3 linked regions of the Yarrowia lipolytica genome follow. The protein of the gene in region 3 purifies or fractionates together with the protein of the main gene of each other region. This does not show direct contact. Links are inferred from orthologs where the notes say so. Each region holds a gene or a part of one and is shown on either strand. Other genes may lie near its edges. The genes, in order: YALI1_D28518g, YALI1_E40691g and YALI1_D18770g.

Region 1 (10,722 bases), about 970 kb from region 3:
GGATAATCCAAGTTGTGAATGAGAAACTGGAACTCAGCGTTGAGACGGTCACGAGACTGAGGGTAAGTGGTCAGGAACGTAAAGTATAGCTCTCGACAATGGTCTCTGGTCTCAGACTGCTGATGGGTGATCATAATGTTGGCAATCTGTTTCATGACATCGTACACCTCGGAAATGACAATCTGACGGCCCAGAACGGCATTGACAAGGTTGAAGGTGATGTTCTGGCCCTGCGACTCGACCAGGTCAGGCAGAATCCGGGTCAGAATGTTGCCCAGAGCACTCTCCTTGACTTCAAACGACTCAGAACATTCAAACAATTTGGTCAGCAGTCTGAAGGCGTTCTGAACCAGCTGCGTCTTGGTGTCGGACGAGTTGGCAATGATCTTGAGCGTCTCAGTGCCCCACTTTTGAGTCCATGAGTCCATGTCAGGGAAATCCAAGTCACAAATCATTGACAAGACTCGCAGAGCTCCAACTTGAACATTCTCATGGGTGTTTGAAAGAGACTGTGTGAGAGGCTGTAGGAAGCCATACAGGTTGTTGGCAGTTCGGAGCTCGGGATTGTTGCTCAAAACACTCTTGAGAGTGTCGAAAGTGAAGGCCACAAGCAGATTCAGGTTGGCAATGTGCATGCCGTCCCGGAGCTTAGTCACGTGACTTTTGGCGTCGAGGTTCACGATGTAATCGCTTTCGTTGTCGTCCAGAGCCACAATCTTTTGGCTCTTTGCCTCCTCCTCCTCGTTGTACTTGCTCTCAATTGTCTGGGTGAGTTTCCACACTTCGAAGCACATGATCAACACAGACTGCGATTCGGAGGCCGCGTTTCGCTTGAGACCTCGAGACAGGTGGGTCAGAACGGTCTCCACCTTTTCACTGACTCCAAGGGTCAGACGTTTATGCAGCAGGATCGTCTTTACCGGGTCAATAAGCTTGGAGAACGACTCCAGAGACACGTTGGAGGCCAGAATGGCGGCAGTATCGTAGGACCGCTGGGTCTTGACCTCCTTCATGGCACTTCGGTAGTCCTCTTCGTCCTTATCGGTACCGGTGACTCCAAAGACGTCCTCCATGATGATCTCAGAACACAGAGCAGCCACAGGATCGAGATCGGCGTGCTCCAGAGTCATGGTGGACAAAATGTACCAGACAGTGTAGCCCAGAATATGCAGATGGGCTCCTCGTCGGAGCGCAGACTTGAGTTCTCGCAGTAGGAAGAGCAGGTACCTGGCCCCCAGAATTTCGGCAATCTGGCCCAGAAGCTTCCGCATCTCGTCTCGGAGCTCCTGCTGCTTGGCTCTCATAACCTGACAGAGAGTGGTTAGGGTACCAGGCAGCACGGTCATGACCTGGGCAGGAGGCAGAGCAACAATGAACCGCACGACGGGAATACCGAGAGGGATTCGGTCGGTGAGCTGCTCATTGGAGTGGGCACGAAGAGTCTTTCGAATGGGAGGAATCACGTTCTCCAGCAGGAAAGCGGATCTCTCTTCAGGGGTAGAGGTGGTTCCAAACAGAGACGTGTCCATGGAGATGAGTTTGGGAGCTCGTGGAACAGTGTAGACTGCATCTGAGTAGTTCTCACGGTCATCAGACATGGCCTCGTCTTCGACCTCTTCAGCAATTTCCTCGGTGTTTTCCTCCTCTTCCTCTTCGTCCTCCTCCTCGCGGGAGTCGTCCTCGGTGAAGGCCACACCAAGAGCAGCTAGCATTCTGGAGGCCTGCTTCAGGCTCTGGCAGCCCTTTCGGAGGTAGCCCACGAACCGCTTGCTGATCTTGACGTACTGCTCCCAGGTGACAAACCGGGTCATGGAACCAATGCACTTGTAGGTCATATGGGCTAAGTTCTGCGTCTCCTGGTTGTTTCTCTTTCCGTAATGCTCAATCAGAGGCAACAGAAGGTTGGCAATGTTGTCTGAAGAAATAGCCCCCTTTCTGACAAAGTAGTTGAGATACTGCACCGCCTTTTGTCGTCGGAGAATCTGCACATGCATCACGTTGTAGAAAAAGTTGGCATCAGCGGACTTGTTGGGAGCCAAAAGAGTGACGAGGTCGTTCAGGGGCTCGAACAAATGACGCTCAGACAACTTGACGAGGTTCTCAAGAACCTGAACAAACTCGATTCGAATGTTGAACTGCGGCTCTCGCATTCCCACCACCAGTTCGGGCATGACAATGTCGTCGATGAGCTCAATCTTGTCGGGCTGGGACTCTTGAATTGACTCGAAGAACCGCATCAGCACCAGAGTGGAGTTCTGTCGGATCGGCAGATCGTCAAGACGGATGAAATGCAACATGTTACTAATTAGAGGAGTCCACTCCATGGCAGAGAAAGACGAGAACTCCCGCTGAGTAATATCGTTGTAGGCGGCCATTCGAGTGTCCCAGTCGGGCTCATTAAGCCGCTTGCCAACCGAGTTAAGCTGGCTGACAAGTTCAGCCGTGCGATCGACACCTCCAAGCTTGGTGCAGACAACACAAAAGGCGTTCACCAGCGCGTCACGTGCACTCTGCAACTTGATGGTCTGGAAAAGAGTGGACAGGTTCAGATACATTTCAGTCACGTGCTCCTTGGCGAGGGTGGTCACCGGAACCAGCTCGGTGAGAGCGTTCAAAAGAGACACCTGAATGGACCACGATACCTTGTTGTTCACCACCAGATCGGTCACAACAGCAATCAGATCGCTCTTGACCTTTTGATCACGTGCATAGCCCTTCTGACACGTGATCACCAGCAGCTTTGCAATGGTGGTCACGACGTCAAAGTTGCGCCTGTGCTCGTCCAGCAGGGCGGGAATGCGGGGCAACAACAGAGGAATCGTCGAGTCGACCACGTGATCAAACTCGCCAGCATTCACTTGATCCTCAATGGCGAAAATCGAAGACCACAGCAGAATGCAGTCCTTGATGGTCGAGTCGGGCAGATCAGACACCTTCAACAGAGCCACCACCTGCTTCAGCAAAGCCACCTCCTCAAACACAAACAGGGGAAAGGCCTGCGCACGTGATCCCCACAGAAACGTGATCTGGAGCAGAGCACTGGGTCGCTTGGTGTTTCCAGCAACAAAAGTCGGCAGCTTAGATTCTATACAAGGGTAGTAGATCGGGGTCAGGTAGGGCTGCCATTCAAAGTCCTTTATCTTGAGGAAGAGCTGAGTCAGCACCTTGAAGCCGTACCGAGACATTCGACGAGCTGAGGTGTTGTCTGGAATCAGACACGAATAATGCATACAATACAGCACCGAGTTGAGCAGAATGTCCATGGACGAATGTAACTTGGCTCCAATCTGCTTACCCAGATCCATGGCCAGCTCCAGAAAGAAGATCTGAGACGCCGCAGTTCGAGTCTCGCAGTTGCCCGACAGGGTCTCCAGGTCGCGAGGATTGGGCTCGATCACGTGGTCATCACCGAGAATGTCAAAGTCCTTGGGAATCTCCAGCTGGTCGATTGCCAGAGAAACAAACATGCGAGTGTACTTTTCGGGTAGAGCCAGAAGAGTGGAAAGCACCGCGAACCGCTTTCCGTACCGCGGTCCACTCTTGCTGACCACTCGAGATCGTCCGTAGAGAATCCGGAGCGCCAGAGGGAAGATGACATGCTCGTCGTCTTCATGCAAAACTCGGTCCTTTGAGGGCTTGAGGAAGCTCAGCATCTCGTCCTTGAATTGCGAGTCCTCCAGCAAGTTGAACAGATTGTCCTTGTACTTGCGAACCACCTTGTTCTTCCAGGATAGGATGCACTGAAGAGCTGCCTTCTGAACAGAGTTCATTTTGTTGGTCAGAAGCAGCAGGTATCTCTGATAAATTTCCTCGGCTCGAGGACAGTTCTTGGTGTTGTGAAACAGAGCAAAAATGTCCAGCAACACAATCTTGTCCTTGAGGGTCCACGAGTCGGCAAGTCCATACTCGGAAGACTCAACAGCCTGCTTATCTCGAGAAACACCCTCAGTCCAAAGAAGATAGGGAACCAGCTCCATCACATGGTTCTCAGACACCCGAGGAACAGCCTTGAGCACCTTCAGCACATTGTTTCGCAGGTAAAAGGGCTCCTCAGCAGGGAAAGCCGACTCGGAAAAGTCCTCAAACAGAGCTCCGTTGCTATCGCGAGAAACAAGCTCATTGTACGTCTCAAACAAACCATTCAAGTTATAGTCGGGAGACATGGAGTCGGTGAAGGGGCTGTCCAGAACATGACGTGGCTCGGGCACCCAGTCGTCATCAACCTTGACCAGGTCACGTGCCTGCAAAACGTTGTAGGACAACTTCCACACCAGCTCCGGAAATCGTTCGGCAACATTCTTGAGGGCCTTGATGGCAGCCTCGTGAGCTGGCGTAAAATGAACAGTAAGAAGTCCAAACAGGAAATGAGGCACTGCTGAATCAGCAATCGTATCTGACCCAGACAGGGAGAAGGTTTCTCCGAGCTTCTCGATTCGCTGAACAAGAGACCGCAACGTGGTATAATCAAACGGAATGGATGAAATGACCTTGCACTCATTGACGAGCGCGTTCTGGCCACGTGACAGCTTCGAAATGAGGCTCAGCGTCACGTCCCGCACGTGGGTGTTTGCGGAGGTCAGGTTCTGGGTCAGCAGCACCAGTGACGAGTCATCCAGCTTGGTTGAAGAGTCACAAATGGCCAGCAGACCGGTAATGTAGCCTTCGATTTGTGAAAAGTGTTCCAGGCGGCCCAGGGCTCGTTCCACCAGCTGCTTATCGTCTCCCAATGACCCAATCAGACTCAGAGTGACTCCGTAAAGAGCTCCAGTATACACGTCGTCAGCGGAGAGCTTGGGGAGTAGCTCAATGGCAAACTCGGTCATCTCCTTCTTCATATCGACATTAGAAAGTTTGGTGAACATTCTGATTCGCCAATAGAGGTTGAAGACTGTTTCAGTGGACATGTTCTTCTTGCCAAACGCTACAATCTCCTTCTTCAGAACCTTGCAGGCATCCAGACACTTGATCTTCTCCAGACTGTCGACAAAGAGTGCAATCTGCGAAAGATCATCAGAGAACATGCTGATCAACTGAGGAATGTACTTGACACAGATATCGGTGAACCGTTGACTCTGGACCTTGGCAAGAATTTGGAACGCCACAAAGTATTGCTCACGTGATTTGGACGACAGAGTGGTGAGCAAGGACGTATGGTTGGCCAGCACATTGCTCTGGGCGCCGTTCTGGATGAGCGAGACCACCAGGAGCGCGAACTCGACAATGGCCTTGTCGGAGAGAGTGGAGCAGAAAGCCTTGGCCTCCTGGAAGACTCGAGCCCAATCAGGAACTCGGGAACCCTTTCGGATGGCGGTTATAGTAGTCAGATAGGTCACAGTATCGTAGTTACCGTTGCCTTGGGCATACTGGTAAAAGGTATCAAACACGGCCTGGCCCATGACAGGGTCCTCAATATGCTCCAGCACAACGGCCAAAGTCTCTGAAATCATGGTCACGTGTACTCGGTCGGCCTCGGTGATTGTGTTGTCGTCACAAGCCGCACATGCAAATAACACTTGAAGAATCAAGTCCGTCTTTGAATGAAGAGCTCCCTTGGTGTGTTTGATAGACGCAGCAAACATGGCGGAGACGGCAGAGACGTAATCTCGTGACGAGCCCTCCAGCGTGCTCATCACGTGCGGCACGATCACGTCCAGACCGTCTTGGGAGCACTTTCGGATCAGAAAGGCCAGTGTTTCCGAGGCAAATCTTCGCACAAACGGTCTGATTTTCTTAGGCTTGGGCTTGTCATCCTCCTCGTCGTCAGAGTCTTCCTCCGGGATCTCCTCCTCGTCTTCTTCTCCGTTCTCAATCATCTGCACATCTTCATCTCCTCGGGACAAAAGTACACTGACGCTGTCGTACAGGGGCACCAGGTTGCTAGTCAATAGACGAGCCAGGTACTTGAAAATGTACACCATTGCGTTGAAAGTGTGCTCGACCACCTCGAGATTGAAGTGGTAGGTGAGATTGATGAGAAGTGCGAGAGTTCGGGGGAAGTATGGCTCGAACTCCTCGCCCAGGTCGCGGACAAAGTTGGTGAGTAGACTGGGTTAGTTCTGTATCGGGGACTTCCTCTCCATCCTCCATTTCTCATACTCACTCTAGCAGGGCCTCCACACTGTGTTCATTTCCATCCTCCAGACACTCCTCCAAACCATCGAAAATCTCCTCCTTGTGGAACAGCACCATGGGCAGCGACACGGCGTACTTTCCACATTTTTCCATAAAACGAGTGAAGCTGGTGGACAAGTTCAGCTCAACATGGGTCGTGTAACATGCAATGAAATGCGACGTGTCCGTGTCCCGCGACAGCTTTTTCTTCTGCCGTTTCAGCGGATCGATCTTGATGGCATCAAGACGTTCTCGGAACGATTTGAACTGCATTAGTATGGAATTGAATGTCTCAGCCCAACAGCTGATCCGGTAGGTCTAACGTATCTCCTGGAGCTATGATCCTGGCGGTGGCGATCGCCCAGTAAGCACAGCTAGTGACATCAGTATGCTCGTACAGACCCATGAAAACCGTCTACGATACTTGTAGCTCGAATCGATCTCCAAATTGCCACCCAGATCCGTCTTCGGCTACTGTTTGCAGATCCACATGGAATGGCGCTCCACTCCTCTCACAATCGCTCTAGAGGCGGTCCAACAGCTCATGTGCCCTCCATGTCGCCCATACTCACTCGGTGGTTTTTACCCGACTCGGTTCCAGTTTTAAGAACCATGTTGGACCGTTTCTGAAATTTCGTAGATGTCTGTTTCAACCTCTCGAAAAAAAATATCTTTTAGACTTGCAGTATGCATGTGCGGGTTAGGGTTAGTGGTGATGATAGTACTGTACCCAGGGTGGTTCGGAGATGTGAGTTCGATTCTAGTGACTGTTTTGTGTTTGAGGTGTTTATTTTGGTGTTTAATTTCAGTGGTGTTTTGGTAGTCACATATTGGTGGCTACTGAGCGGTAGATTTCAAGTAACTTGGTAGTTGGAGGGGTTGTCAAGTAACTGAACGGTATTTTAACACTGTTTTTTTGCTAATTTTTTTCCTAAAAAGTCTTTTTTTTTTCTTTTTCAAGACAGTATTTTTTAACGCTGTTCTTTCCGCTTTTTTTTTTTTTTTTTTTTTTTTTTTTTGTTCTAAAAAGATTTTTTTTGTTTTTAATATTTTTTTTCTGTATTATTTTTTTTTTTTTATTTTTTTTTATTTTTTATTTTTTTTATTTTTTATTTTTTATTCATTTATTTATTCCATTTATTTATTCATTTATTTATTTGCACAGTCCTAGTGCTCCTACCCTTCGAGACTGCGGAGTCTCTCACACCTCAGACTGACATTCTCCAACTTCCACATTGCAACTTCACCATTGCAACTTCAACATTGCCCGGTTACACTTGACGAAAGCACTCGCCAGATAAAACAGCGCTAAAACGACTATGGATCGCTTTATCCACATGGCAACAAGTCTAGAACTAGCGTCGAGTGGCTCCACAAGCGTCGATAATCGCCGTGAAACTTAGCCTGTTCCACTAGCTTCGGTATCGGTGGTTCTAGACTGCTCCTAAACGGTCCATGGTGTGGCCTTAGCTGTTCTCTACACCACCCAACTAGTTGTAGGGCTCTGTTTACGAGCTCCTCTAGCCGTCGATAGTGTCGTATCTTCGACTCTCTACACGAATCTATGTCCAGCCTATCAACAGACGACCCACCTCTTTTTTCCCCCATGCTCGTATATATTTGGCCGATTATGCAACAGGGGACACCTGTCCACAAATGGTCCTGCAGGGAGGCCGATAACTGAGGGCTATCAGTCTCTTTTCGGTTGCCCTTTCTTCCGCCTAGTCCGCAAGTGGTTCGGAAATGGCACTAAGAGATAAAAAAAAAAAAACCCCCAGGGTAACATGAGCAAGATTTACCGTTGGGGGGGAGGTGGAGAAGCCGTCCATAACAACACCCAATGTTGCCCGAGCTGATTGAACGAATCTGCAGTTATCTCGAGCTGGCAGACATTGTTGCGCTGCGAAAGACCAACCGCCACTACCGCCAGTCCATCTCCGAGTCGCTGGTGCGGGACAAGCTGATGCAGCAGTGCCCCTACTACCGCCTTGAATACAGCCAGCACGGGAGCTGGAGGACCGGCGGCGCCCATTACGTGCGCGACAGACACATTGACGTGTTCATTGACCTTGTGGAATGCTCCTTCCACACTGACTCGCCTCTGCCGCGCGACTTTGAGTGCCTGTGTACCGACGTGGAACGCACATTTTCGTGGGACTACAACAACCGGGGCATTTGCTTCAACGAGAAGCAGCTGGACCTCAGCGATCTGAACACGGACTTTGCTGTGCCTTGCAACTACGGGGTGAGCTTTGGAGATGCAGGAACAACCATCAAATACCACGGGTTTGGGGTGACGGTCGAGGGACGGATGATTCAGGCCAGACACACGTCCCGGGCCATTGCAGCAATATCTGTGCATCAGGGCCATTTGATGTTGACGGTCAAGTACCCCAACAAGGCTCCTGAGTCGATCAAAATGAACTGCAAGCCTCCCTTGCGGCTGCAGGTGATCGGAGACTGTGTCTATGTATTTGGAAGACACGATCATACCTCAGTCCTGTACTTGATCACTCCTACACGGTGTTCAGAGATGCTACACGCTCAACGGCGACAGCCTCCTGCCGGCATGGTTCTTTACGATGGAAATGTCTACAATGTCGATATGGACGGACGATACCGGTGTTCGGTCACCAGAGTCACTCACAGGATCACGTCCGACAGAAACAGACCCCCAGACAAGTTCCACAGAGTGTACCAGGACGAGAAGCATTCGCAGTACTGTTTGATATACAAGTCCACGGGTCTAGTTACTGGCATTGTCGATTTGAAGAAGCGACAGAAGAGCATCCTGTCGCAGATCTCCAGCGACATTTTCGCCGACTACAACGGAGCTAACGAGCCCGAAGATCATTTGTTGATGGTTGGTCTGAGCCATGGAACTGTGGGGTGTTGGAGGTACACCATGAAATATCTGGCTGAAAAGTACAAGAGCCAGCATGGAGCCGAGCTGCCTGTTGAGCTGCGGGCGGTGTTGAAACAGCGGGCGGTGAGCTTGAGTGAGGACGATGCGCGTGGACGGCGACCGGTGACCAGGGAGTGGACCACGGGGGATCTTTTTGGCAAGAGTTGGATGAGTATGTCATCAAAGCGGGAGAGTTTCTGACGTGGAACAGAAGGGATCTGATGGGACTCCTAACAGACGTTGAAACACGCACAACAATCGCAACTGTGTGACTCCCCTCTAGCCGATGACGCCGACATCACCAGAGCCAGACGAACAGACGTACATCCAGTGCACGTGTACATGGTCGTATGGAAGATGGGCTAGTCACTGAGGTAGAATGAATTCTACAACCAGTCTCAGATTCTTGTTCTACATCTGTTGAAAAGCCCTGTTCTCACTCTAGACAACTTGGTAGCTAGGTAACACCTAGACATTGACACTACCGGTCGAGATACAAATGTCCGCCGTTCGAAAAAAAAAAAAAAAAAAAAAAAAAAAAAGTCTGGAAACGAAATTGTTTATTTGCGGTTTCTTTCCTGCTCCTGGTCGACCTCAATCTCCGGGGTCCCACCGATAACCGCCGTATAAGTTTCGGGTGAATTATTTGTATTTTTTGTATTTTTTTAAAAAAAAGTTGCATATTTACCCCACACTTGGGGCCGAGGAAGCCGCACGCATCATAACGCACGCTTCATAAAGCTGGATCGGGGAGCGGGGTGACCCTAAGAGTGTTTCAGGTGGGGGATTTAGAGGTATATTTGGATCCAAAGACTCTATAAACAAGATGCACTTTTCCGTTATTTTCTACGATATCTTTTGCTGATCTTGTCTACAGTAACGTACATTGTACTCATTGATAGTAAACAATGGCTTGATCACTTTTCAAGCTGAGTCCCTTTGACTGCCGCAATCACTTATCATTCCACACCCCTTTTCTTACTCAGTGACACCCTTTCGTTTCAACTCAGTGATTCACCGACTTCCCAACTCGGTTACTCGGTGATTCAACTCCGTTACTCAGTGATTCACGGCTCAACTCAGTGATTCACGACTCCCCAACTAGTGATTCAACCTCGTGACTGAATGACGCCAAAAAAGAGCCAGTTTAGCCCCATTATTTGTCACGTGACCGGTGGTTTCGCATTCATTATTTTCGCCTTTTTTGCTTGTCTACAACCCCCCGCTACCGACTGTTGCTGCTCGATGACAAAGTTTGCTGCCTGGTGTGAGATAACGATAAAGATATTTTTGGCCGCGTGTTTTCAATATCCGTTATTGTCCCCAGAAAACCAGAAATAAATTGCAAAAATTCAGAGCGGCCCTCAATTGCAATATCCAAGGCGTTCCACACCGAGTTCGGGGGTCTTTTCACACATGTCTGCTGACTTAACGTCTCAACAGACAATTTACTCGCATGGTACATGCCAGTGACTCTACAAACACCAATCGCAACAAACAGCGGCCATTACTGCCGATTCATGTGTGAAAACCGCCCTTGTAAAATGGACCAATCACATTCACTCATCCTAACCTCTAGATTTACCGGTGAAAACCGACCCCGTGCCATACCAAAACACTCCATTATCCAGCACTCTTGTCGCTCCCCCCTCCCACTTTACTCAGTGACTCAACAATAAAGTTTGAAATTTGCGGATAAGCGAGTC
Region 2 (8,613 bases), on a different chromosome or scaffold from region 3:
CCATGTATCTGGGAGGTAATTCCACGAAATCAAAGCCCAACATCATTTTCGGGGGAGTGGACGCCAACATGGTGCGTGGAAATTGGAGCACGTTTCCCATTTTGCATGAAGCCAATGCAACGTCACGCTCACAGGAGAGATTTTTCATTGCCATGACAGGTCTGTCTCTCACGCGCCAGGATAATACAGTCGACAGTGTCGGCATGTCAGGTGACGCTGCTGTTCTGCTTGATCCACAGTTCGCATTGTCTTACATTCCCGGCGACGCTATGGTGAACCTGGCTGTCATGTTGGGAGCTGTATTTTTCGACGGATTGGGGGGATGGATTTGTGACTGTCGACTGCGAGATGTCGGCGCATTCATTAACATTCAGCTGAGTAACATCACCTTCTCCATGTCTGTATACGATGTGCTGATGCCGCTCACAGACGGGTTTGGTAAGGCTGTGAATTTTACAGGGGGAGGAGAGGCTTGTGCAGTCACGTTTTCAACGTCGGAATTCACAGGATATAATGTTCTGGGATTCAACTTTCTCCAGAACCTATACACCTCATTTGATGTGGACTCCAAGGAGGTGTCTATTGCAAAACTCAGAAAGGGAGCTCTGCAGTCTCCTTCGTACGAGCCAAACATTATTCCACTGAGAGGACCTCTCGCCAGGCATATGAATGCCACTACCATCATCCAGCCTGACATTGAATACACTTACGGCATCCCACAATTCAACACCACAAAATACCCCACAGCCGGAGGAGATCGAATGACACGAGTAGTGTTATCGGACCCCACAGGAGTTGTTACATACGAAGGAATCACTGTTCCAGGTAGTTCAGGCAGCCAGAGCAGGATTCCGTTGGACTCAGAGCCATTCACGATCCAGGTCAGTGCCTCCCCGACATCTTCAAAGCCTGGAGCCCTGATCCAGTTGTATGGAACGCCGATTTCGGGTTCTCAGACTATTTTCAAAGACGCTCCAGCCACTGGAGTCAGTACTTCCAGACCACCTCAAATCCCTCCAACAGGGATGGGAGCTCCTCGGTCTGCAGGAGAGCGGGTAGCATTGGGTATGGGGGTGATGTCGCTGGCTCTAGGCCTTGCGGTATGCATGTAAAACACTACAAGTAGCATTATTTATTTATTTATGACCCATTACGACTCTACTACAACTACCAGTACATACTGTACTTGTGCTCCAGCGTAGGTGACAACAGTACACGCGATACGCCAGTGGCTTGATAGAGCCAGTGGCTTGATAGAGCCAGATAACTCAACAGGGAATGTCCTGTGCTATACATAGAACAGTAAACGATGGGTGTGCACTACAAGTAGTACTTTTAATAGCTAAATGCGACTCAGTGAGAAATGAGTGTGCAGCAACAAGTCGCCTATGGGTCGTAAAGTTTAGTTGGAATTACTTGACTACTAAATCCAGCTGGGGGTACAAATTCGAGGATCCTGATCTGGTAGAGATTTGGAAAATACACCTGCCGAAATATATAAAGGCACTGAATAAGACTACTTGCCATAAATACTACCTCATCACACATAATTTGAAATTATTGTCATCTCTGTAAAACCCAGCCATCGATTTTACTTAAGATTCTAGTTGAGGGAGCTGTTTTGTTATGCTCCACCAGATCCTGGATTTTGAGTGGAAAATAAAGTTGATGTATGTTAAGGCCACCTTGAGATTTGCGGTGGTTATACAGACTGCGGGGTAGCGATGAGAGTGTAGATTTGAGAAGAAAATAGGATGATCAAACACCCCCTCGAAGCAGATTCGGCCAGGTTGTTTTATCAGGTCGTATTTCCGTCCCTGTACATACTTTACGTCATGTAGTGAAATTTCCATACAGCACGTGAGTTAACTTTTAGGTCATCCCGAATTTCACTCCACCATCTCGACCACCAAACCATGGATCTCACGACTCTGATCGACAAGCTGAACGTGAGCAGTGCCGCCTCGGCCCACGACCAGGCGTACTCGTTCGCGTGCCAGGCCGAAAAATATGACCCCAAGGACCTCAACATCCAGCGACACAAGCTGGTGGCTCTGATCCATCTGGAAAAGTTTGACGAGGCCGAGCAGGTTCTCCAGGACAAGGGAACCACTGGCCTGGAATTTGAGGCCGCCTACATCTACTATCGCCAGGGCAAGCACGCTGAGCTCGCCAAGGTGCTGGAGACGGCCCAGAAGGATACACGGCTGATCCACATTGCTGCGCAGGCTGCGTACAAGGAGGAGGACTTTGACCGAGCCTACGAGCTCACACAGGAGCTGCTGGGCACCGGAATAGACGAGCTGGATCTGCTTGTCAATGAGTCCGCCATCGTTGCCCAACAGGCGCTGCACAGACAGGGAGTGTTCCCCCTGACCATGACATCCACAGCCAAGTCGTCACACGACTTCCTCTTCAACCGGGCCATCGCCGAGCTCAGTGAGGGCCGGTATGACTCAGCGCTCGATCTACTGTCGCAGGCCCAGGTCGCGTGCTCCGAGGCAGACATGCCCGCGGAGGAGATTGACACCGTCAAGATCCAGGCTGCATACATTCACCAACTCAAGGGCGACACTGCTGAGGCCAAGCGAATCCTAGACTCTGTTGCCGAGTCCGGCTCGCATCTCAGTGGTCTGACCGATCTCGTTGCCGCCAACAATGCCGTCACGCTGTCTCCCGATATCACTTTCAACCCCAACGTGGCTCTGCGAAAGCTGCAAGACCACGGCCTGGGTCTGTCTTCCACCGCCAAGGGCCCCACTGCCCCCAACGGACCCGCCATCCAGGCCCAGCGAAAGGTGTTTGCCCTCAACCGGCTGATTCTAGAGGGATCAGCTGGCAAGGACACTTCTAAGCTGGCTAAGAAGCTCACCCGAACCTACCCTGGTCTCGTGTCTGCCCAGGTGGTTGCTGCTACCAACGGAAACAGCGATCTCGAGGACCTCATAGAAACTCTGCGAAAGCGGGACCCCAAGTGCACCAACATTGGCTCTGTTCTTGCCATTGCACAGGCCTACGTTCTGACGGGTCGTCTGCAGGCAGCCTACGACGCTCTGACCACCTACATCAACTCCCTACCCGAAAACCTGGCTCCCTACCCTGGTCTGATTGCAGCTACGTCGTCCATCGCGCGTCTCATGGGTAAGAAAAAGCTGGCTCTCAAGCTCATCGAGAAGGCCAACACCCAATGGCAGAAGAACAGCGCCCCCTACTCTGCCTCCCTGGCATACGCTCTGTCGCTGCTCGAGAGCAATAAGCCCTCCAACCAGAAGAAGGCCAAGAACCTGCTACTCAAGCTGGTGGAGAAGAAGCCCCGAGACGAGATTCCCCGAATCGCTCTGTCTGGAGCTCTGGGCACCCAGGAGGTTCTTACCCGAGAGATTCCTGATCTCATTTCTGGTGTCGATGTAGACAACCTCGAGGAGGTCGGCGTCATTATCCCCCAGTCTAAGAAGCGATCTGCCGAGGTGTCTACTAAGACTTCCAAGAAGCGAAAGACCAAGATTCCTGCCAACGCCGACCCTGCCGTGACCCCCGACCCTGAGCGATGGCTCGCCAAGCGAGACAGATCCACCTACAAGCCCAAGAAGGTCAAGGGAAAGAAGGTGCAGAACACTCAGGGAGGAGCTGTGGACGACTCGCTGGAGCTGGGAAGCAACACTGCCGAGAAGACCACTGTGGTCAAATCCAAGGCCAAGGGCAAGAAGAAGAAGGGAAAGAAATAAGCGGTGAAGGCTCAAAAATGGTTACATGTATGAAATACAGGTGTATTATATTCGCTTTGGGTATAGTAGGTAATCATGTCTAAAGTCATGGAAAGCTGTTACGTATGTCCACGTATACGGTAGCTATAGCTGATTATTTTTAATCCTGTAGTAATGTGACATAGACACGAAATCTCGTCTATAGTAAATTCAAATCCATTCATTATTTTATTGACCGATAAAGACCGATCCATGGTAGATGCACAAAACGCACATTGAAGCCCGTTTGTGCTGATGCGTGTCAGTTTTTTTTGCCTCCATCTATAAAACAACCCCCAATTCCGTAGCGTACCTCTTTGCTTAGGCGAAAAGAGTGTCCTCCTCTCGCAGGTACTCGCCGACATCTCCCTGTCGGAAAGCAACCATACCAGTGGGGTCCAGACGTCGGACCTCCAGAGAAGACTTTGCACTGACGCCAAAGCCCAGAGGAGAATCGCTCATGGAGTAGACAATGACTCCGGCATGCTCGGGAATGTCGTCGCTCATCTTACCGATGTGGGCCTTGAGAACGTGGTTACCATAGAGGAAGGGCATCTCTCCGTTAGGCTTGATCCAGATCTTGTGTCGAGCATGTGCAGCGAGGAGAGGAAGAGCGGTGATATGAAGTCGGAACTTGCCGGTCTTGGTGAACTTGCCGAGACAGGTGCCAACGGAGAAGAGCTGGGCTCGAGACACACAGGTGGCATACTTGGCAATCTTCTCCTCAACGTAGTAGACTCGGTCCTTCTGGAGCCGGAACACGTGAGGGTCTTCGTTATTGATGAAGTGCGAGATGTTTCGTCCAACGTAGTTGGCGAGCTTCTCGAACACGGTTTTCGTTTCTTCTTCGGTCAGAGGTCTCATTGTGTGTGGTATGTGTTGATGCTGAGGGCTGAAAATATTTAGCCTTGCAGGAAACGCAGAAAAAATATTTCCGAGCCGCACAGATGTTTAGTCAGCGGGAAGAAAGGAGAATGTCGTCCAAGTATAGAAACGAAAGTAAATGAAATAGAAGCATAGAGTCACTGTTGATTACGTCACTGTTGGTATTGGAACGCAACACATCTCTGTACGGATCTACGTTATGCTCGTCGAAGACTGTGATCATCGATGAACTGTAAGCAGCGAAGGAGCATTGTACCCTAAACGAAACATATTGAGAATAAAAATAATTTAACGAAACAGGGTAGGAAAAATCGAAGAAAAATCCATAAAAAACTATCAAACCACAAGTGAAGCCCCATTGGCATTGAAACAACTAATAATGACAGGACATTGAAGATAAACCTACAACCTGCACAGCCCATCTACTGAATTCTGTAGCGATGGTGTGTGAAAGATACAGCTGTGCGTTATCTGGATTCTAGCTACAAGTGGAATACCGGGATCTGTCTGGAAACACAAGACCTCCTAGACCTATATTTCTAATCACATCAGATGCAGCAATGCACCAAAACTACCAGTACGTACGTGTACTCGTACAAGTACTGTAATTGCTTTAGTCACTCTAAGCTCGCCATCTGGAGTTTGTCTGTCTTGTCTCTGCTTTCTGTTATTGTCTCAACCTGACACTAATTACTTACTTGTGCTGTCATGGACTGATTATGGTTAAACCCACCAATAAAAGCATTCATATTAGCAAAAGTGCTCAGTGTCCGAGATAATGAGGGTTAGAAACGCCACCTGAGACGTGTAGTCCAATTACCGCTCTGACCCTTGTACTGTGCAAATACAGCGTCTCGTCTCGCACATGTCGGTGAATAGTAAATAGTGTTCAAGGCAGGCACGGCTCCTCTTGCCATCACCACATCATGTACTGTACAGTACGGACCACAGAAGGCTCGAAAAGCAGCATGGAGTGATGATTTCCGAAGCGACAGTGTGTTGCAATCCTTTTTGTGTCTGTGTCTCCTGACAAGTGCCCCAACCTCATTGGATGCTCTTTCTCTCTTCACCACCAGTTGAAGCTAAATCACATCCAGTTGGGGGTGTCTCGGGGCTGGCGTAACAAAATGCAGACGGATGCAGAGTGGATGCCTTGGTGGATGTGGGGGGTCTTTGTCCACGGAAGTGGGTAATCACTATCGAGCTACTTCTGGTGGTACTGTAGTACAAGTCGACTGTGTCCAGCACAAGTCACAACCGGTTTTGAGTGAGAAGCTTTGTTCCACCTTCCAAACTCGTTCGACACTTCTAATTGCAGCCTTTTCATCTCATCGCAGTCATCACAGACCTGCTTAAGCGAGCCTGTCTCCCTGTGCACAGTATGTACAAGTAGGGTTGCTAATTCTATTTGGGAGGTGACATCCATAAGCTCAGAACTGGTGCCTTGATGCCCAGTACTCGTAACCCGCGGGATACTCAACCTAGATGACGTGCGGCGGCTTCTGGCCTTTGTGTGTTGAAATTCTTGTACATATTGGAAGTGTAGTGTGGTGGTGGCGGCGGTGTACATCCAGGTGTACATCCAATCCTTATCCCTGGATCATTGCACTCCTCAGAGTCTACATGACCCGGCTGGTTGGTGTCTCCACTACGACACAATTCTATGCTGCAGACCCACACCCAAAAGCAGGCCTGTCGCACCTCATTGAACACGGTCACCTCCCTCCAAAGCACAGGATGCCGCCTGAATAGCAATACTTCTCCTCTCATTGGACCCCGGCTGCAATTGGCTTTACCGTTTGATCTGTAACGTTGTTCAGGGAACCGTGGCGCAGGTGGTCTGCAACCTAGATGATTGCTATCTGGCCATATTTGGGCGGCGGATCCGTATATAAAGCGGAGTGTAGCTGTAGTCAGCCCCCACGATCAATCCACCATGTCCAAAGAACTCTACGCCAACTCCAAGGACGACGCTGTCTACTCCTACTCCTTTGGAGTTCCTTACCCCCACCATCCCTACTCATCTCAGCGGGCCGGCCCTACCGGCCCTCTGCTGCTCCAGGACACCTATCTGATTGACGCTCTGGCCCATTTCGACCGAGAGCGAATCCCCGAGCGAGTCGTCCATGCCAACGGAGGAGGAGCCCATGGCTACTTTGAGGTGACCGATGACATCTCCGACATCACATACGCCGAGCCCTTCCAGAAGATTGGCTACAAATGCCCCACCACCGTGCGATTTTCTACCGTTGGTGGTGAGCGAGGCTCTCCCGACACTGCTCGAGACCCCCGAGGTTTCGCTGTCAAGCACAAGACCGACTGGGGTAACTGGGACATGGTTGGTCTCAACTCTCCTGTTTTCTTCATTCGAGATCCTGTCAAGTTCATCCATGTCAACCACTCTCAGAAGCGAGACCCCCAGACCAACCTGACTGCCGGAGATGATGCCTCTAACTACTGGAACTATCTGGTCCAGAACCCCGAGTCTCTGCATCAGGTGGTGTACATGTTTGGAGACCGAGGTACCCCCAATGGATGGCGACACATGAACTGCTTCTCCACTCATACTTACAAGATGATCAACAAGGAGGGCAAGCTGACCTACGTCCAGTTCCACTACAAGTCCGACCAGGGAGTCAAGAACTTCACCGGACCCGAGGCTGCTGAGATGGCTGGAAAGAGCCCGGACCACGACCAGAAGGATCTCTTCTTTGCCATCGATAACGGAGACTACCCCTCCTGGACCGTTTCCCTTCAGACCATGACTCCCGAGCAGGCCGAGGAATGGGAATACTCCATTCTGGATATGACCAAGACCTGGCCCTATGACAAGTTCCCTCTGCGAAAGGTCGGAAAGCTGGTGCTCAACAAGAACGCCGAGAACTTCTTTGAGGAGATTGAGCAGGCCGCCTTCTCTCCCTCCAACCTGATCCACGGTATCGAAGCCTCTGATGATCCTGTTCTCCAGGCCCGACTCTTCTCTTACCCCGATACTGCTCGACATCGACTGGGTCCCAACTTCAACCAGCTGCCTGTCAACCAGGCCCGAACCTTCCAAAAGGGATCTGGCTGCCCATTCATGGCCGGAAACTTCCAGCGAGACGGAAACATGGCCATCCACAACCAGGGCAACCGACCCAACTACCTGTCGACGATCCGACCCATCCAGTCCGTGTCCGTACCCAACGAGGACTTCAAGAACACTCACGATTACTGCGGAGTGGTCACCAAGGAGATGGAGGACGAATCCTTCAAGGTCCAGGCCGAGGCTGCCAAGAAGCACAACGAGAAGATCTGGGAGAGCTCGTCATACCTGTACTTGTCTGGTTTCCAGGAGAGCGATGCAGCCCAACCCCGAGACCTGTACGAGAGAGTGTACGACGATGCTGCCAAGCAGCGAATGATTGACAACGTTGTTGACCATGCCTCCACCATCAAGCAGCACGGTCTCAAGGAGCAGGTCGCCAAGTACTTTGGCCGAATCAGCGACGATCTTGGCAAGAAGATCGCCGAGGGTCTTGGTGTTCCTTACTAAGCGTAACACTTCCGTTTCTGCTCGGACTTACAATAAAAGACTGCGATAATCGCATATATAACTTAATCCTATCTATATTCATAACTCGCTATCGATAATGGCACTCGCATAAACCATGTGTATGAACGTTAGATTAGGCGAGGGGGTGAGGGAAAGGAAGATTATCAGATATTGGGGGATTGTGTTCAGGTGAACGAATTCGTTCCTGTACTCCTCCTACGAGTAATTGTACAGGTATGTACTTGTTTTTGTACCCTGAGATAGGACTTGCCAGAATGTCAATAGACAACAGGTAGTGTATTATCGTGTGAAGACGCAGAAGCAGCAGCAAACGCTAGCCAGTCTAAAAAACGACTATTAATGTCTTGGCTGTATATTTGTTGAAGCCACACCGCCTTCATTATTTTCACACGGCACTGCAATCCCGACAACCACGTTGTTTTTTTGGTT
Region 3 (11,244 bases):
GCCGTGAATATGGTGTTACGCTGATTGGTTGAGATTTGAGTCACTGGGAGATAAGGGAGTCATCGAGAGTCACCGGGAGTCATTGGGAGGTTCATACCTGAGTAGAGTTGCAATTCAGATGACTCAATTGAGTCATGCAGAGTAGTCATCTGAGGACCCACTTAAGCGACTCATTTTGACTCCTCCTGCAGTTGGGAAGTTGGAGGTGAGAAACGTGGTAAAAAGTTGAAATTGGGCGTGAGCTACTCACCTCGGTTCGCACATACTCGAGTAGATGAATATTCTCGATCTCTATAGAAGCGATGATTCATTGGCCCCTCAGTATGTACACGGTAGTGTACGTCATGGCTGAACATGTATGTACGAGTGTACAAGTGGTGTAGGAAGTACGAGCTGGCGTGCATGTTCACTCGGAGTATGGTGGACTAGACACAATGTGGAGTGTTCGCTGTGTTTGAATCCGACGGATGTTTATCGCTGTGGAAACCTGAAAGTGCACAGTGTCAAATTACTGGACATGGATGTAGGACATGTTATTCAGCGTTGTGCCTACTGGTGGTGAGTCTTCGGTTGGGTTGAAGGACCAGGAGCAATGGACTCAGTACTCGAACAACAAGTGGTACGAAAACAAGTACTTGTAGTACGATCCTGTGTACCGGATATCAGTAACATCGGCACTCAAACATCTTCAATCAAAAGGTCCCATTGATGTGTAACGGGGAAAGCTTTGTTGCGGCTTCATGAATCTGTTGAACACGTTTATTTAGACCGCACATCTATTTTGCTACACCATATTTGTCTCTTCTGGGAGTTTTTTTTATTTTTTTATTTTATATATTTATATATTTATTTATATATATATTTATTTATTCTCCTTTTTTCCAAATTTTCCGTACTGGGGCCTTGAAACAACGACTTCAGTTTTTTTTTTGTAAAACGTCGGACGCGCCCACAATGGAGCCTCCCAATTCTGCAATATTTACGTCCCGATTTCGGCTCGAACCGACAACCTCTAACCTTATTTCCCACAGCTTCTTAGTTTTAGTCACATGACCCCCTCTACCAGCCACCTACGATATTACTCAACACATCGAATTAATAGAACGAAACCCCATGGAGAACTGGGACGACGATTTCGGCGATGAGGCAGACCTCGTGCTGCGCGCGTCTACCTCAACGGTCTCCTCTTCCGAAGACAACGATTTTGGTGGTCTGATACACAAACTGGGCTCCAACGCGACTTCAACCACCAAGTCGCCGATAAAACGACCTGTCACGAATATGAAGAACTTTCGCAGTCTGGATGACATGCCGGACTTTACGACATTACAAACAGTTCTTTCCGACGACGATTTAGAAGGATTTGACGACTTTCCCACTATCAAGGGCAAACCGCTGACGTTGAAACCACAGATAAGCATACAGAAATCCAATAAAACGACACAAGGGAAGCACCAGTCGCGAGACACTGATTGGGGAGACGACTTTGAAGATGGATTTGATCTCCCTACAGACTTTACCCCTCTTTCCGTTCGCAAAAAGACAATTTACCCCAGTGGCTTGGACGTTCCTGAGCCCGTGACGCCTACACGTTCTCCATCAAAGGGCCGCGAATCGCCCTCTACGTCGATATTCTCACCCGCTTCTTCCCACTACTCTGAGACAGACGCGCCGGAAGGCGACATGTGCGAGGGTTTCGATTTGCCCAACCTAGACAATATCGACCTTGGCAAGGTGTTGGAGGAACGCCAGAGAGTCGCCGAGGCGGAAGCAGAAGCCGAGGCAGCTCAGTGGCAGCAAAAACCAGCCCAAGATGACTTCTTTGACGGAATAGAGCTCAACGACGACTCTTTCGTGAATGTCAAGTCCACTGTCAACAAGAACATCTTGAAGAACGGAAAGTCCGTGGGTAAGCTTCAAAAGCGGAGGGCAAGTCAGAACACCTCCGGCTCGACAATGCGTGGCCTATCTCACATGCCATCTTTGCCGTCGTTGAAACCAGCTTTAAGAGTCAACCCGAGTCCAAAGCTAGCATCCAACACTAGACAAATCCGACCGGCGCAGTCCATGGTGAACATTCGAGACCGTCGCAAACAGGACACAGTCAAGGTGGACTCGTTGGAGAGTCTTCGCAAGTACAACACTGTGAAGACGTTGAGTCGACCCAAATCGCGAATCCAGTTCGATGGGTTTGAGCTTGATGATCTGGATGATCTGGATGTGGCACGAGATGCCCCACGCGACTTTGGCACAGTTACACGCGACTCCGTGAAGCCTTTGGAGGCCTACCGCGAAAGCACTGTGCGGAATCCGACATATGCATCCATGCTCAAGGCAAAGGGCCCTACGTCCCGTGAGAGCGGAGGGTCGCGTGATGGGACAATCAAAGCCCGTGACCTGGGCGGTGCTGGACCACGCGATGGAGGTGGAACGGTCAGAGTGCGTGAACCCCGGTTCCGGGCCAAACGTGGCCTCATTCGGCCGCTAGGAACTCACTTCACACCCCCGACTAACTCTTCCATGTCGTTCAACCCTACAACGATGTTGTGGGAAGGTAATGACGTCGATCTGAAGCGATTTGAGTCGGCTAAACCTGCTCTTCTTGCATTCAAGTCGACTAAGGGCGCACAGGTTGTTGGAAATATGTATTTTGACCCCGTCAAGCTGTGCTGGAAAAGCATGGAGGTGGATATTGACGAGCTTGAGGGATTGGAAGACCTGGAGGAGGAGCCCACTTCCATTGGTTTTGGAGGACGGGGTTTCAGTGGAGCAGCTGACGGGCATGAGTTTGATCTTTCTGATGAGTTTGTGTCAAAGTTGAAACATCAGGAGGAGAGATGGAACAGGAAAACAGCTGGGTGGTTCGAAGTGGGAGCCAAGTTCGATAGAGACTATTTGTGGGATCTACGAAAGTTGATCACCAATACCGCAAAGAAGTGAGGCGAAACGAACACAAAGAGATGACCATATTTATAGAGAGTATCAGTAATTTAGCTAATGAAGTTGCTGCGCATGTTTTTTTACTACATCCACCGAAAACATGAGCCTAGATTGCTTGAATATTGTTGTGATATTATACAGTATGTAGACATCCGAGCACGGGAGTATGTTTTTACGAGGTGTGACGCTATTAATTAATTCTTGATTGGGCCAATTCTCGATGGAACGTCCGGTGAATTAATCTCTCCATTACTTTTACTATTATTTGTAGATTTTCCATAAATAGTAAAATTATTGTAAAAAAAATTGCTGTAAAAAAAATTGCTGGTACGCACTTGTAACCCAAATATAATCCATCATCTATTCCTACCCGTCATGAACTCAATCTTGCTCTCTGCATCGTCTATCAACATTGACACAATGTCGACCCTAGAAGAACGAATAGCGGCGTACGAAAGTCCACAATGCAATATTCTGGATGGATTTAGCCACGAGAAGATTGTGAGCTCTGGACTAGGTCTGCTATTTGTGGGGCTGTTCATTCTTTACAAAGATGTGAAGTCGGAAGCATGGGCCTGGAGGGAGATTATCACGACCTTTGGGGTTGTGTGGCTCGTCGCGTGGCTGGTCATCCATTTTCGCTTGAACAAAAGCAAAGACAAGCCCCAAGTAAACGTCAGAAAAGGGATTGAATGAGCCTCCCATTGATATCGGCGCCTGATCCGTTGTATCAGAATGGCCATGCCTTGTCAAAGCGTACTTGTACAAGTACGTTTGTATATACACTTATTAGAATTATATTGCAAGCTTTTGTAGTGCGGAACATGCTTCCTCTTTTTCTTCTCCGATTTTGTTAGATTATTTCTGATTTTTGACGATTTTATAAACATTGTTGGATAAATATAACTGGATTATCCGTACAATTTCAACTCTTACTGTACAGTAGTATGTACATTCGTAAAATGGTATGTATCTACACATACAAGTGTAAAGTCCAGATCACTTCAGACCTGGAAGGTAACAGACCGAACCGGTTGTCTGGTTGTCTGGTTGTCTGGAAACGTGTGATCCCAGAACCATCTGGAGATTCCAGACTCTTTGGTCGCCAAGTTATACAAACAGCAGCTCACATAAAACAATCTATTACCATAATCTATTTTCATACACCCTCTAAGAAAAGTCCTCATCATCGGATTGCAGGTACTGAGCGTAGTCGTCCATGGAGCCGAAAGTAGGCAGGTCGGAAAACTTCTTCTTCTTCTGCTTCTTGTCTCCATCATCACCGGCCTTTCGCTTGAGAGTGACCTCGTCGTCAGAAGCAATGAGGTTATCCTCATCGTCAGAGAAGTCTAGAGCAGGCTCATCATCAGAGTCAGCAGCACCTTCCTCATCCTCGTCTTCAGCTTCTTCGAAGAAGGCGGCCTCGTCCTTCTTAGAGGGCTTCTCAGACTCGGACTTCTCCTCCTCCAGATCAGAATCGGAGAAGTCGGAGAAATCTCCCTCCTCGAGCTCACCATCAATCTTGTCGAGCTCAGGGTCATCAGAGAAGTCGTCCATGTCCATATCGATGTCGTCTTCTTCGGGATCAATGTCGGGTTGGGATTTCACCATAGCATCCCAAACTTCGTCGTCGTCAAGTTCAGAATCACCTCCGATATCCTGGTACTCATCCTCCTTGGACAGCTTCTTGGTCTCCTCCTTAAGCTGCTTAGGCTGGAAGTAGTTATAGAAGAAGACATCCTCGGGGGCAACCTTGTCCTTGTTTCGATCCTTCCACTCCTGAACGTTGACGGGCTGGGCAGTGTTGGAGCCCTTGAGTCCGACCAACAGGTTGTTGGCAGCAGCTCCACCAGCCAGAGGCTGCATGATAGAGTTACCCTTGAGCTTCTGCTGCTGCTTGGGGTTTCGGTAGACGAACTTGTCGAGGAAGTGGGCCAGAGAATGCAGATCAAGATCGGGCTTGGCCAGAGACTCGCCTCTGTTGACGTAGTTTTCGGCGTAGGCAGTCACCGAAGGGTGGTAGTGTCTCAGAAGGAACTGAAGCTCGTAGAGAGAGGTGGTGTTAGCGTTTGCGAACAAGGGGTCACGCTTCTTTCCATCGTAAGAGTCCTCCTTGTGGGTCTGAGACTCGCCGCTATCCACCGACTTTTTAGAGGTATCAATGTTGACCATGAGTCCATCATCTTCCTCCTCCTTGACATCTGTAAACTCCTCGAGGCCGGTAGAAACGTTGGAGAGGGCCTCCACACCGCCAGAGATCTTTCTCACTTCTCCCAGAAGGTAAACCATACCGACTACTGAGCCAGTCTTGAGCCATCCAAGAGCAACTTGCACCATTCGCTTAGCAAAGGCCTGGACTCGCTGAACGTTGGTGTCAGCCTTGATACTTTTGAACAGCAGGTTGAGGTATAGTCCCTGCTTGGAAGAATCAACAAGACGGGGATCAAGGAGGGACTCGTAGAGAGTTCGGTAATATCGATCCTTTTGAGCGTCCTGGCACACTTGGAACAAGAGAGACAGAGCCTGGATGGCTGTACCGAAGTTGGCAGAGTGAGTAATTCTGAAAAGGGAGTCAATGTGCTTAGAAAACTCAGCCTCTGTCAGATTAGAAAAGGGGAACGCTCGGTTCAGGCCAGAGAGAATAGCAGAGATGAGTTTCTGGTTAGCTTCGTCCTTCTGTGTCTCGACAGTCTTCTGCTGCTGCTTGACACCTCCCTTCTTACCCTTGCCGGCGTTGTGACGCGACTTATGCTTGCCCTTGGTATCCTTAGCGTCCTTCTTTGTGAGATCCTTGTCGAAATCGGCCTCGTTCTCCTTTAGCACCTTCTCAAACAACAGGAAGTAGTTGGTGACAAGAGTGTTGGCCAGATCAGTGTCCCTTGATGTAAGAATACTCTGGTTGAGGGTGATGGCAGAGTAGTACTGGGAATGGTAGTCAGAGCCGGGTCGGAAAACAAGCTCCCAGATGGAGTTGATTACAATACCCTTCATGGCAGGGTGGGCCTGCATGAGCTGAAGCAGGTGGTATGACGTCTGAGAGCAGACAACGGTATCCTTGTCACCCAGCTTGTTGACAGCCAGTCGGAGCAAGTTGACTTCCTGCTCAGGCTTGGCCTTGAGAAGGTCGACAATGTGGGCTACCACCGAAGACCGCAGATGGGTGACAGTGTCGTGCGAAATTCCCTCCATGATCTGAAGCAGCTCAAAGTACTGGGTCTTGAGCCAGTCTTCAAAAGCCCAGATGGCGAGGTACTCAGGTGCCGAGTTTTTCTGGACAGGCTGGTTCTTGAACCATCTTAGTTTTCGATCAGGAAGAACACCAGCGTTGATAAACAGGTCCTTCAGAGCCTCCAGACCCTGGAGAGCAGAGGTTCTGCCCTTCTTCTTACAAAGGTACATGAGCTGTTCGAACGACTTGAGATTGTGCAGAGGAGAGTCGTGGATAAGCAGGGTGTAAGTGGAAATCTTATCACTCAGAGTACCGGAAGTGAGCATCTGCTGCATGAACGTTTGTTGCGACGATTGCTGGTTGCCCTTGTATGTGTCTTGATCCTGCTTGAGCAGCTTCATACCCTGATCCTTCAATGACTCGACGTCAGTCTCTGAAATGGGTTCGAGGGTCTCAGGCACGTCAATCTGATGGTTGTACCAATCAGGACGAGGAGGCACGGCAGTGGGAGTCTTGATGTCCTGGGGGAGAGACATGGCCTCAATAAGCTTCTCCTTGGCAGAAGGGCCAGTAGAAATGATAGGCTTAGCGGGAGCAGGCTCGTCGTCAGAGTCAGACTCGGATTCTTCATCGTCCTCCTCTGTGTCCTCATCCTCGTCATCCTCCATCCCCTCATCATCGTCCTCCTCTTGTTCCTCCTCAACGTCCTCATCCTTGACATCCTCGACGAGTTGAGGAACGTCTCCATCGAGTCCAATGTCCTTCATGAACTTGAGCAGATCTCCAGAATCAATCTTGGAGCCGTTTGAAGGGTTCACAACCACATCATCCTCTCCATCAGACAGGTCCTCCACGAGTTTGAGATCCTCTTCGGTTCCTCCGAGCTCCAGGATCTCGGCCAGCAGAGAATCAGGCTTGAATTCCTTGGTCTTGGTCTTGGTCGACTTGTCCGAGCTGGAGTCCTGGCTCTTGGTCCTGGACCCCTTACTCTTCTCGGTCTTGTCAGATCCCTTGGTCTTCGAGGGCTTTACCTCAGTGACCTTCTCTTCCTCCTTCTTGCCGAACTTGGATTTGTTGAAGTTCTTGGCCTTCTTCTTCATGGCTTCAGCCTCCTCCTTCTTGCGCTGCTCATGCTCCTTCTTCTTGGCCTCTCGGGCATCGTTCTTAGCCTTGTTCTCAGCCTTGACGGCATTCTTGGCGTCCTTTTTCTTGGAGTTTTTATCGTTGGCCGTGTCCAACTTGGCCTTGATTTTGTCGGCCAAATTGGAAAACGACGATGTTTCCAGTGACATTATCGATGTGTAGTGCTGTCGTGGTGGAGAGAAAAATATCCTGCATCAAAATCAACCTTCAGATATTTTTTTCAGTCGTGCATGAACCTTAAATTATTTTCAGAGGTTATGAATGGAGAAGGACGGCAAGTAGCGATTTGAAAGACCTGATATGAGAATAAATACAGCAAGAAAAAATAATTACAGCTATAACAAACTTATAATCTTTTTTATGATTTTTTTTTTTGTATTTCTTGAAAAATCTTTTTGAGAGATGAACCGCGATAGTGCATCTTAAGTTGACAAACAGTGACATCCCCCGAGAGAAGTGAAAAACAGAAATTCTGCTCTATATATGGGTTTGTATTTACATGAGCTGGATTCGGGGGTGGCTCCTGTGTTTCCAAATGATTGCTTTGTCACCTCTTCGTACCCTGTACAGTACATACAGGGTATACGAGGCTCGTTATATGTGTGTAAAAGTGCTTATACAATTTGAGAAACACGTGATTTTGCGAATGAATCAGTAAAAATGGAAGCAAATACTTGTAAAACTCGGATATATAACTTGTAAGTATTTGTACATTGTGCTTCTACCAAGTTCCTCATTCTCTGTTCTACCCGTACGAGTACATACTTGACATTCGGTCGATCATGTCCCTGTACATACACAACAGTTGTACCGTACGCCGGACATGTGACCTTGTGAGTTCTCTAGATTGATCGTAAGGATGATACTACCCTATCTGTTTCAATGAGTCAGATATGGTACCTGTTTGAAACTTCTGGGACCCGTGGGAATCAACGGGTGTCACTAACAGCCACTAGCAATGTTCAGACCAAAGAAGAAACGAAGGTGTCTGACGGGAAAAAAACATAGAACCAACGATAAAATTGCCCTAGGGACTGCTCGACCCGATGTGTTGGCGTCTCATGTGTAACCAGGGAAGTAACAGCGGCCCTCCCGAGGTTCAACATTGTGATACTGCACGGTATTCAGACTGTAGCACTGTGTTTTTGCACGGTCGAGTATCGCATGTACTACAAAGTAGTACCTACTTTTACTCGTGGAGATTCTCTTGTGATTCAGTGACACGTTGATACCTGCGACTCAGTGCTCTGCAGCGTCATTACTTTGCAACTATGCTTGGCCATCGTACATTCCCGAGTCGATCACGTTTCCCCAACAGGAGTAAACACTTCGATACGGTTTATGGCTTGACGTTCATCACGAGATCCGAAAAAGCAAGCACAATATGTGGATTCTGGTGATTATTCTAGTCTGCCTGAACGGGGACTTCAGATACCACTTACCATGGCTACAAGTAGGGTACAAGTGTAACAGTCCAAGTCCCTTGAGATACTGGGGTTCACTTTTCACGGTTTGGTGATGATGACAATGTCGATCTTTCTTCTCCACACAACCGGCACGATATATCATCATTGACGCTGAAACAATTCACATGCTGGTTTCAGAGCCTCACCTGAGCGGACTGAGACAGAGCAAAGAGTGAGTAACTGGCTACAATAGAATCAAAAGACGCTTTGGCGAAGCAAAACGCTGCTGGTTCACACACACATATCGCTACATTAATGGTCTAAAATGTCTCAAATACTGGAGATGGATGATACATGGAGCAACTCCGGGGGGCAGTAGATATGATAAAACACTACTACAAGCAGCCATACAATTAGATGGCCTAAGTTTTCTACTGTATTATAACGTGAGTAAGAGAGCTTTTGGACTGTCTAAGTACAGTACATTCCCGTACCCACCTGTACTTTGCTTGCAGACAACTGCAGTCCTGCTTCAATTAGGTCGATGTCCGACATATCCGGAATTCAAAGCACTGTGGGTAAGTACTCAAGCGCCGCTCGTGCCTGATTCAATCACGTTCAGACACGTTACTTCGGAAAGCTGGCACCACGGTTATCGAAGAGAGTCATTAAACACGTGCAACCTAGGTTGGGCCGTTGGAGGCCGCAGGCTAGTTCCCATAGCCACTATCCATTGAATGCTGTTGTTTTTACACCTGTGGACAATTCGCTTGCAATAGTACATCCAAGCAGCCTCCATGTGAAAGCAGCATACATTACCATATCGAGCACAAGTGGTAGAGATTAACATTCATTCGTCATGTGGGGGGTGAGGGCAGAGAGAGCCTCGTCACGACTACTCACCGTGTCGCCAATGCCGGCCTTGAAACTGCTGCTACACACGGTTTTTGCGGGGGAGCCATCCACGGAGATGTTGGAAAGATAAGAATGAGACAGAGACAGAGAAAAAAGAGCTGGAGCCAAGCAGAGAGACGGAATCGAAACAAGACGACGAAATGCAGCTCCTTCACTACATACAGTACAGTAGCGTGATGAGGCCACACAAAAAAGTACTTGCGACTTGTCTTCACACCAAGTGGTCATTTGTTTTTCATGATTCAGTTATCACTCACACGGCTCGGTTGGGTCGGTTAATGCAAACCAGGGCGTTTAGTTCATCGGCTCATCGGCCTCATGCAGATGAAATAAGCAACGAGTAGGAAATAAGAAACGCAAAAAAAGATCCTCGAGGCTGGACAAGTCATGTGATGGGATTGTTAGATACTACTTGTACGGTATGTTTAGTTGAACCCCCTCCCCCCCTCCCTTGTCGTTGTACTGTTGGTTTCGGCACTCCAAGTACGGATTAACGTTACACTACACGCCATACGGCGGCCTCGGCATGGTTCGGAGGTCACCAAAGCGGCACTGCTGTTATACTGAATTGAGAGCAGAAAACTCGTGAAAATCTACGGCCTGGTAGTGATGGTTGTAACGTGTACATGCTCATTTCTTTTATACTGCAGCCGGACTCCCTTGCATCAACTAATACCTCAACTGTGAGAGGCTGCACTTTCCTCAAGAAGCAAAAAAATTGGGTTCGCGTAAGAAACTCAGTTTTCTATAAGGCACACTTTGCATCCCTCCTGTATCTTATCGAGATGAGATATGACACATCTGACGTGTCAGACTAGTTAGCTGAACATAGATGCGGTTGTCTGGGCTCGCTGCGCCTGCCAGTTGTGCTCCAACCCATCGCTAGAGACCACCCTACCTGCTTGCCGATTTTTGACATCTCAGAAATGGCCTGATAACTCAGACGTGCATATAATCTTAACCCTATCGTAACCGAAAATATGAGAACCCTCGTCCTCCTTCCACAACATGGGCGAAAATGCTAGTATCCATTATAATGGACTTGTGTTCAAGCACGTTCGATTGGGGGAACGTGATGGTCCCGATTTCGACCCCTCGCCCACCCCAGATAGTTGGGTGGGCAGTGGCACAAAAATGTGGTGTCACTGCAACACACACCAGGGCACTAAGGGCGCGTTTGGTGGCTCTTGCAAAAACAGCTATAAATAACATCCGAAACTCCGATTCAGCGTACTGTCTGCGTCTACCATGTGGGGGTTGATGATTGTTCATAGCCTGGGACGTGTCCACGAGACGGTAACTACGCAAGCGGCACCGTCCATAAAAGAACGCGAAACCAATTAGGCACAAACATTGCCTCCAACAACAACAACAACGGCGATTCGAAGCCGACACAGCCGTATTGAACGTGTTGAGACGGAAGACGGTTAAGCATTGCGTTAGATAGCGATTTTGGATACGAAGAATGGAAAATGGATTATCGCAAAATGGAGTGGAGGCACAGTATGTACATGCCTACGATACCATACTTGCACCGGTATCGTTCGTACCTGTAATTAGCCACCTTGTACAAGCACAATCTGTATGTCCCCAGCAGCTGTAATCATAGGCAGTTTATGCAATAGTAAGGGGTTAATAAAACAGACACGCCTCCAACTTCCAACCAACACT

Evidence for each region.
Region 1: the proteins of YALI1_D18770g (region 3) and YALI1_D28518g purify together in Saccharomyces cerevisiae (affinity purification with mass spectrometry, with the first as the bait; 3 studies listed by BioGRID). This does not show direct contact. The link is inferred for Yarrowia lipolytica from reciprocal best matches to the Saccharomyces cerevisiae genes MAK21 and UTP20.
Region 2: the proteins of YALI1_D18770g (region 3) and YALI1_E40691g purify together in Saccharomyces cerevisiae (affinity purification with mass spectrometry, with the first as the bait; 3 studies listed by BioGRID). This does not show direct contact. The link is inferred for Yarrowia lipolytica from reciprocal best matches to the Saccharomyces cerevisiae genes MAK21 and NIP7.

The regions. Positions count from the first base shown.
Region 1 is NC_090773.1:2,845,697-2,856,418, forward strand, and holds the start of YALI1_D28518g (uncharacterized protein), read right to left. Parts: upstream 6,726-10,722; coding exon 6,684-6,725; intron 6,379-6,683; coding exon 6,101-6,378; intron 6,046-6,100; coding exon 1-6,045. Other genes in the region: YALI1_D28537g (uncharacterized protein), read left to right, coding at 7,952-9,217. UniProt on the Saccharomyces cerevisiae protein: Involved in nucleolar processing of pre-18S ribosomal RNA and ribosome assembly.
Region 2 is NC_090774.1:4,065,120-4,073,732, reverse strand, and holds YALI1_E40691g (ribosome biogenesis protein NIP7), read right to left. Parts: upstream 4,608-8,613; coding exon 4,065-4,607; downstream 1-4,064. Other genes in the region: YALI1_E40744g (uncharacterized protein), read left to right, coding at 1-1,112; YALI1_E40718g (uncharacterized protein), read left to right, coding at 1,917-3,725; YALI1_E40671g (uncharacterized protein), read left to right, coding at 6,565-8,163; YALI1_E40647g (uncharacterized protein), read right to left, coding at 8,442-8,613. UniProt on the Saccharomyces cerevisiae protein: Required for proper 27S pre-rRNA processing and 60S ribosome subunit assembly.
Region 3 is NC_090773.1:1,873,208-1,884,451, reverse strand, and holds YALI1_D18770g (uncharacterized protein), read right to left. Parts: upstream 7,402-11,244; coding exon 4,111-7,401; downstream 1-4,110. Other genes in the region: YALI1_D18833g (uncharacterized protein), read left to right, coding at 1,114-2,940.